2 linked regions of the Canis lupus familiaris genome follow. The protein of the gene in region 2 purifies or fractionates together with the protein of the main gene of each other region. This does not show direct contact. Links are inferred from orthologs where the notes say so. Each region holds a gene or a part of one and is shown on either strand. Other genes may lie near its edges.

What was found.
Region 1: the proteins of KATNIP (region 2) and CILK1 purify together in Homo sapiens (affinity purification with mass spectrometry; 3 studies listed by BioGRID and IntAct, with this or other methods). This does not show direct contact. The link is inferred for Canis lupus familiaris from reciprocal best matches to the Homo sapiens genes KATNIP and CILK1.

The regions. Positions count from the first base shown.
Region 1 is NC_049233.1:20,703,270-20,707,079, forward strand, and holds part of CILK1 (serine/threonine-protein kinase ICK), read right to left. Parts: intron 2,278-3,810; coding exon 2,149-2,277; intron 1,103-2,148; coding exon 1,004-1,102; intron 1-1,003.
Region 2 is NC_049227.1:19,102,545-19,106,435, forward strand, and holds the end of KATNIP (katanin-interacting protein), read right to left. Parts: intron 3,320-3,891; coding exon 3,218-3,319; intron 2,746-3,217; coding exon 2,585-2,745; intron 2,496-2,584; coding exon 2,407-2,495; intron 1,890-2,406; coding exon 1,831-1,889; 3' UTR 766-1,830; downstream 1-765. UniProt on the Homo sapiens protein: May influence the stability of microtubules (MT), possibly through interaction with the MT-severing katanin complex.

The sequences.
Region 1 (3,810 bases), on a different chromosome or scaffold from region 2:
CAAAAGCTCGTTACTACAAAGACATGTGCACGTAACACCAACATAGTTACACAGGTGCAGAACAATAAAGAATTAGGTTTTTACTTTTAGGGGGGAAATACAATAAAAACAGTGAAATGCGAGCAGAGCATTCTTACACACCACACTGTCGGAAAGACAGGGAAGAGGGACAGCAGACAGTGCCGCTCCCGCAGCCTGACCTGAACAGAGTCTGGAGGGTTGCCTGGTTCCAGAAAAGGGAAATCTGCGGTCTTCTTTCTTTTTCGGAATCAAAGGTTTAGCCTGTTCTGAAATTCACTTTTTCCACTTCATAACAGAGAACAGTTATCCTTCCATATCAGTATATACAAATTCTAGAATATGGCTAAACCATAGTTCACTGGACCATTCTCTTACTGAACAGCACACAGGTGACCTTAATTATTTAGCTATTACAAGTAATCCTACACTAAATGCTCTTGCCTCTCATCAGAACAATTAATAACTTCTACTAAATATATTCACTTTTTATGACACTTTCATATTGAGAGTGCTTAAAGGCCCGGAACTGTATGCTACTCATCCTAGTATTCTGGGAGGTTAATGGGATGCCTTATATGTAGCAGTAATCAATACATTCTGGATGGATGAATGGATATCTCTAAACCTTATTAAGACTTAAGGTACACACGGAATGATGAAAGATGTTATTATGGGCCATTATACAAATGGAAGATACATCTGGTGGGAAAAGAGGGAATGTGTGGCAGAGCTATTGTATGTCTTCACAACACAGTGCTCCTGGCAACTGCTTAAGGCATGGTGGCAAAGCATGTGTGAGGAGTTGTGTTGTGCTAGAGCACATTTTGTATTTTTGGTGAATAGATATGAAAAAAAATGCGAAGAGAATCTGAACACGTAAGTCACAAAAGGGGAAAAAATATAGTCAAGAAACACAAGAAAAGATGCTCAACCTCATTAGTAAACATGCAAGTTTAAACCACAATAAGATGCCATCTCACACCTATCAGACCGGCACACATTTTGCAATCTTGACAGTACCAAGTGGCATCAAGGATGCAGCACAACTCCCAGACCCTGCTGGAGAGCAATTTGGCAACATCTGTAAAGTCAAAGATGAGCACACCCTTTAACCTGTTAACATTATACCCAGAGAAACCTTCACATGGGTGCACAACAATAGGTTCGTCTCAGCACCCTTTCTCATGGCAAAGATTGTTCACAAATTACACGCTCATCGAGAAAGGAAGAATAAATAAATTATGGTCCAGTAAAACTAATAGATTATGATACAGTATATATATTATATATGTATATACTTATGTTATACAATATTTATTATGTGTGTCTTACATATATGTTTAATTGCTACAGTATAATATAATTACTAAAATGAGTGGAGATCCAGAATTATGTTCATATTAATTTTTGAACATGCAAAAATATACTAAGTGGTTCATGAATCTTTTAAGAATGCAGAGAAATAATAAGCACCCAAATCAGGTGATGGTCAGGGGAAGGAAAGGGGAAGAGAGAAAAGGTAGGAAGGCCTAAACAGTGGACTTCATGTATATTTGCAAAGTTTGACTCCTTGAGCTGGTGGCAGGTACCTGTCTGGGGAGAGTGATGTGGAAAACTGGTCTACTGGGAATGGGGTTAGCCCACCTGGAAGGCTTATGAAATTCATTTACTCATTTTTAAAAAAGTGAGGATGAGGGAAAAAAAGTGAGGCGCTTTTTTTTTGGCACTCTATCTATCATTGTGCCTTCTGAGCTGTCCACCTACAAACTGGAGGGGGTTTTTCGGATGCTCTGGGGCTAAAGCTGGGTCATCAGAGGAGGGGGTGAGCTGGATGGAGCAAGGCATTTTACAATGCTCCACTAGGATGGAGCTAGGTTGGAGGTCCAGTAGGGCAGGGTCTCGGAAGTCAGAGGTGCCCGATGCCCTGGCTACTCCTGAGGGCAGACCCTGGAGTCGCTGGCTGAGTACCCAGGGCCTGCTGCCCAGAAAGAGACAGGAGCATAGGCCTGATAAAGGGGCCCTGGGCTTCCCCCCTAGAAAACCCTCTTGTCTCTTCTCTCTGGACCCACCCTGCAGCATCCAGAGAATTTGCCTCTTGTCATTTAGGGGTTAATGATCATTACCCACCTGAATTTATTTTGCTGATTACCGATACTGTTCCTGAAGATTTCCCAGACAAACCAGAACTAGACCACGGGTTAGATGGAATAAAATCCTTGCCTGGATTTGGAAGGATGCCGTTTCTTATATTTATTCCTAATAGGGAAGACAGGAGTTTCAAATGCAAAAGACATATTTCATCTTGTACCAGATTTTAGTGGTAAGCTCATCACAGAACCCTATTCATCCAAGCTTCCTACAGCTCGACAGAGCAAAAACTGGCTGTGATGTTGTCTGATAGACAGCAGAGGAAAGCTTGCGTCCTGGGGTTGAGTATGCTGTCTCACTGGTGGGCAGCCCGAGAGAGGTCTCTTGACCTTCTCCCAACAGGTCTGCCTCACGTCTTCTGTCTTGGCCCCTCTGGTGGTATCCTGGGCGTCAGTGTTCCTGGACACTCCTACCTGTATCCCTTCATGGGTCACTGCCTGTCTGTCACCTTCCCAAAGTCCTCTCCATCCCCCTTCTACCAGCCAGCTCTGCAGGCCCCTGCTCTCCTCTCTGCATCCTGTCCCCCAGATCCATCCTCTCACCTGACCTGGACCATGAGCGCCATTAAGTGCTGGTGACTTGGGTCTGCACTGGTGACCCTTGCTGACTCCCTCACGCCCAAGGCTGCCTGGATCTTTATCAATCACCTTGACCTGGAGCCAAACTACCCACGTGACTGCCCACTTGCCTATTTATGTCAGGCACTGCAGCTATTTTTCAGAACTGAAAGACTGAATTCATCTTTTATCCTCCTTCTGCTCCTAGAGCCGAAAAGAAATAACTAATTCCCTCCCTGTTCCCTTTCACTTGTGGTGGCTGTAGTTCGAATCTCTGCCCCTGACACCTGGACCACTGCTGTGCTCTGTCACTTGCTCTCTCTTTTTCTTGGTCATCCCAGGAGGCCCGTCAAGGGCGAGGAGTCAATATACCAGCAGGGCCTGCTGCTCCCACCTCATGTGTCCTGGGGCCCCAGCCCCAGCCTAAGCCACCACTCCCTTACCGGCTACGAGAGCTACAGCCTGCCTTCATCCACTCATCACACAGATGGGACATGAACCCAGCACACTCTCCAATTAAAGCCTTTGAAACAGCTTCCTGCTGCCTATGAAATAAATTCCAAATTTCTTAGAAGACTCCCAAAGAGGGCTCTAGTACATCTATCACTCTCTTACCACACTCTGGCTACTCTGGCCCCACTGCCCTTCCCCTCACAAACCAAGCCCTTTCCTGCCTCCTAGGCCTCTCCATTTGCTGCTTCATCTGCCTGGTTTGTCCTGCTCATTTGTTCCTCCACATTTCTTGGTGGCCCAGACAGGAGTCACTTGCTCAGAGAGGCCCTTCCTGAGCACTCTATCTATCATTGTGTCTCCTTCCTGCCTTCTATCGCCCTTAACATCTCGTATCACCTGAGCTACTGGTTCCTATTTGTTTAGGGTCTGGCTCCCACCTCTAGACTATAAGCTGCAGGCTGCTGTACAAAGTCACTGCATAGACTGTAATAAAACTGCAGCCCGTGGTCCCACTTGGCTGCTGTGTTCCCCGTAATTTCCCTAGCACACATCAGATGCTCAGTACATATGTACTCACTGAATGAATTTGTGAACGGATGGTTGGCTCATCCTGTAAGCTTGGAATATGGAG
Region 2 (3,891 bases):
CGAGACCGCCCAGAAATCCAGCATCTGGGGCCTTGGCTTCTAGGGTGGACGTGGGCCTCAGGGAAACCCCAGGACCAGAGGCCCAGGACTTCACCCCACCTCGGCTCTCCTGGGGTTACCCTGGGCTTTGTGCACTAATGGCTTCCACTGCTGTGTGTCTTGGCCAAGTCCCTCCACCTGTCTGTGCCTCCATTGTCTCACCTGCAGGAGAAGGAGCATGATAGTGCTACTGGGTAGGGCCGTCATGGGGATTCCATGAGGGAGAGCCACGCACAAACTCACCCCTAGGTAGGTATGGGCTTCGCTCCCGCTCACGCCCCCAGCTGCAGGTGGTGTGGGAAGGTCAGAGAGGGCACCTGCCCCAGCCACCGGAGTCTGTTCTTGGAGGCAGCCTGGGCTCCCTCGGCCTGACCCCAAATCCTGCACGACAGACCGCATTCTTAATAACATCTTTTATTGATTTTGCGAGAAAAAAAAAATAGAAATTTATTTTACAGTTAACGCCTGCACCTCTTCTCCCCCTCCTAAACTGCCCGGCGCATACAATTATGATAAACAGCCGCGGAGGTTGTGCGTGGCCTCGGGGCCAGCTCCCCGGGTGGGACCTGGGCCGGGCTGGGTCTGGGCGGCGACGGAGCTGGGTGGCCGGGAGAGAAGCGGCGGCGCTGGTTTGGCCCCTAGGAGCTGGCTCCTCGGCCCCGGGGGTGGGGGGCTGTGGGGCTGGGGGGCTGGGGGGGCAGCCGCAGCCCCTCCCCCCCCCCCCCCCCCCCGGGGCCCAGCGGCCTCCTCGCAGGCGCTCGGCACATCTGGGAGGCGCGCACAGAAGCCCCGGCCCTGGAAGCTACAGGAATGATGGATCTTCTCCGGGAGAAACAATTCCTTATCTCCCCATCGGCCCCGCGCTCCAAATGAAAAGCGCATTTGCATAGCTGCTCCGCCGAAGCTGCAAAGCCCATAAAGTATTTGCCGGCTCGGGCGCGCGGTTGCATAGGAACGTACTCGGGGCCCAGGGCTGCGGCGGCCGGGCCGCGCGCCAGGGAAACAGCGGATTAATATTTGCAACGAGAAATTACCCACCGCTGGGAAACCAATTAGGTCCCTGATCCGAGCTTGTTACATCGATGGAAATAGATACGTTCGGAGCTTCACTCGGCTGGGGGTGCAAGGCACGTTTCCAACTCGAGGGGAAGCTGCTGGAAGGGGGGCGGGCGGGGAGGAGGGACCGGGAGGGGCCCCGCCTCCAGACAAAGTTCCGGGCGGACGCGGAGGGGGGCCGTGGAGGGGGGCCCGAGGGGAGGCTGCCCCCCACCCCCCCCCCCGTGCGCCGGGCGGCCTGGCCGGTGGGCCCCGCTCCCTTCCTTTCCTACGTGAGACACACCTCCCCGAGGGGTCCGTCCTCGCCTGGGATGAGCCAAGGGGGTGGAGCAGTCCGGGCTAGACATTGGGGGGGGCAGGGACTGAATGACCCCCCATCCCCAGCCGGCCGCAGCAGCCCGCCCTTGAGGCAGGGGTGGCGGGGAGGGGAGCTGTTGGCACCTCCGCTGCAGCCTCCCCGCACCCCCGGGCGCCCCCTCCTGTGGGGTCTGAGGCCGACGGGGCGGGCACCCAGGCTCTGCGCGGGACGGGAGGCCTCCGGCCACGGCACCCACCCGAGGCGGCCCAGCGGGGGCGGGCCGGGCTGCTGCGCCCCGGGGCGGGCGGGGGGCACGCGGAGGGAGCGCAGAGGAAGGCCATGCCACACGGGTGCCCTCTGGCTCCCCTCTTCCAGCCCCTGGAGCCCAGGCTGCTCCAGGCTGAGGGCGGGGCGGGCGCCGGCTCTCCCTCCTCGGGTCAGCACCGCCATCGTCGTACTGTCTCCTTCTCGCTTATGCACGTTTTGGGGCGTAAGGCTGTCAAAGGGAGCATGCGGAGGGGAGGGCGTCACCCAACCTCGGTCCTCGAGGGCGGCCCCACGCCAGGCCCCGCAGCAGTCCCCGCAGCCTCCGAGCTCGGAGCTCGGACCTCGGACCGAAGCCCCCGCAGCAGGCCCCCCCAGGCCGGCCCCCAGGCCTCTGCCCGGCCAACTCCCTGAATGTCTCAGGCGGCAGCTCAAGCACCACCTCCTCTGGGACGCCCTCACCCGGGGCACCCTCCCCTGGCTTCCCACAGAGTCCGGAGGGCACGGCTGCACCGCAAAGGCCTGCTCCCAGGAAGCCAGGCCGCCCGGGTGCAGGTGCCCGCAGGAAGCAGGCCTCGCTACTCCTGGGGTTCTGACCCCACAGTCCCTCCTCGCCCCGGAAGCCTCCTGGGGAGAGAAGAGGGGTGCAAGGGGCAGGCAGGGGCGAGAGGCTGTGGGACGCGGCCAGCTGCTGGTCCGCGCAGCCTCGAGTCCCGAGGGCGGCCTCTGCGCAGAGCATCCCAACCCACCTGGGTCAACTGCACCCTGCTTCCTTTTCGAGTTGGTAATGATTTGGTTTTCATTCATCATCTGGACGTCCTGATCCTCCACCTGATTGCTGGGGGGAGGGAGAAGACAGAGGGTTCGGCCCAGGCCATCTCCTTCTTAGGGCCAGCCGGGGAGGCTGAGGGCTGGGCGTGGGCGCACCTGATGGCCGTGTGTCGCTCCTGGCGGCAGATGTCCGTGTCCTCGGTAAAGAGGATGGTGTGGTAGGGCACCGTGGGCTCACATGTGGGCAGGATGCCCCCCACCAGGTGGCCCACCATGGCCAGGATTCCGTTGTACACAAGCAAGTCATCCACCAGGAGCTGGACAGACACAGAGGAGGGGCTGCACCCAGTGGGGCCGGCCCAGGGTCCCCTGTGGTCCCCTTTGCCCCAAGGCCCTGGGCAAAGCATGTTACTGCTGGGAGCGTCGTGGGCTAGCCTGGCCGGCGTTGGGATTTCGGGCCTTCACGACTGGGGAAGGTACCTGCGATTGGCCTCCCGGGGCCCCGCTCGCCCTGCCCCAGGGTCACCTCCCCGAGTGACAGGTTCCCTAGACCAATATGATTGCAAAAGAAAAGCCACTTTCTGGTTTTCAGGGTGATGATTCAAATCACTCAGAGTAGGTTTTGAATTCACGATGGGATGGCGAATTTCCCTGCCTCTGAGAACCAGGCATTTGTGTCTAAGGTGGCAACAGAGAGAAGTAAATCAAACTGCGACAAATGATAATTGCCGGCAGCCTAATTACCAACGAGCATAATTATCTCGAAAAACCCAGCTGATAAGTACTCACGCCAAACTCTTTCACCCCTCGATGGGGCGTTTTTGCGTAATTCCACAGTTTGATCATTGACACGGTGGTGGGCAGATCGAAAATCACATAAACTCGGTTCACCTGTCAGAGACAAGAACTCATTAAAACAGGCATGTTTGGGAACAGGTGCTGGGCGGGGCAGGGGGTGCCGGGCGCGGGCAGGGAGGGGCTGGCCCCGGTGGGTGCTGGAGGCGGCGCCCGGCTGCCTGCCGGGGGCTGCGGCGCTGGGGTTCCCGCCGCCTCCCGTCTCCTGGAAGCCCATCTTGAGTCTGGTCACGTGTGGCTGCGTTTGCAACAAACTGCTCGCCGCCTGGCTCCCGGAGGGCCTGTTTTCTTGGGCCTGGCGTGGCCCTCATTTAAATACCCGCAGAGAAGTGGGTGGGCCCTTCTGTCTCCCCCAGGTCGGCCGACACCCAGCGCGGGGCTCCCCGGGCCAAAGGGGCAGGCCAAGGGTACAGAGTCAAGGAGCACTGTCCCCGGGCGGTCAGCACCGCCTTGACCCCGATCTGTCCTTTCTCCAGTCATAAATGAGAAGCACAGCAGATAGCCCGTGTCTTTGAACCTCTGCGGGGGGGGGGGGGGGGGGGGGGGGGGGGGCTGTCCAGATGAGTGGCAGGAGCAGCTAGGAAGGTCAGACCTGGCGGCCTCCCCCA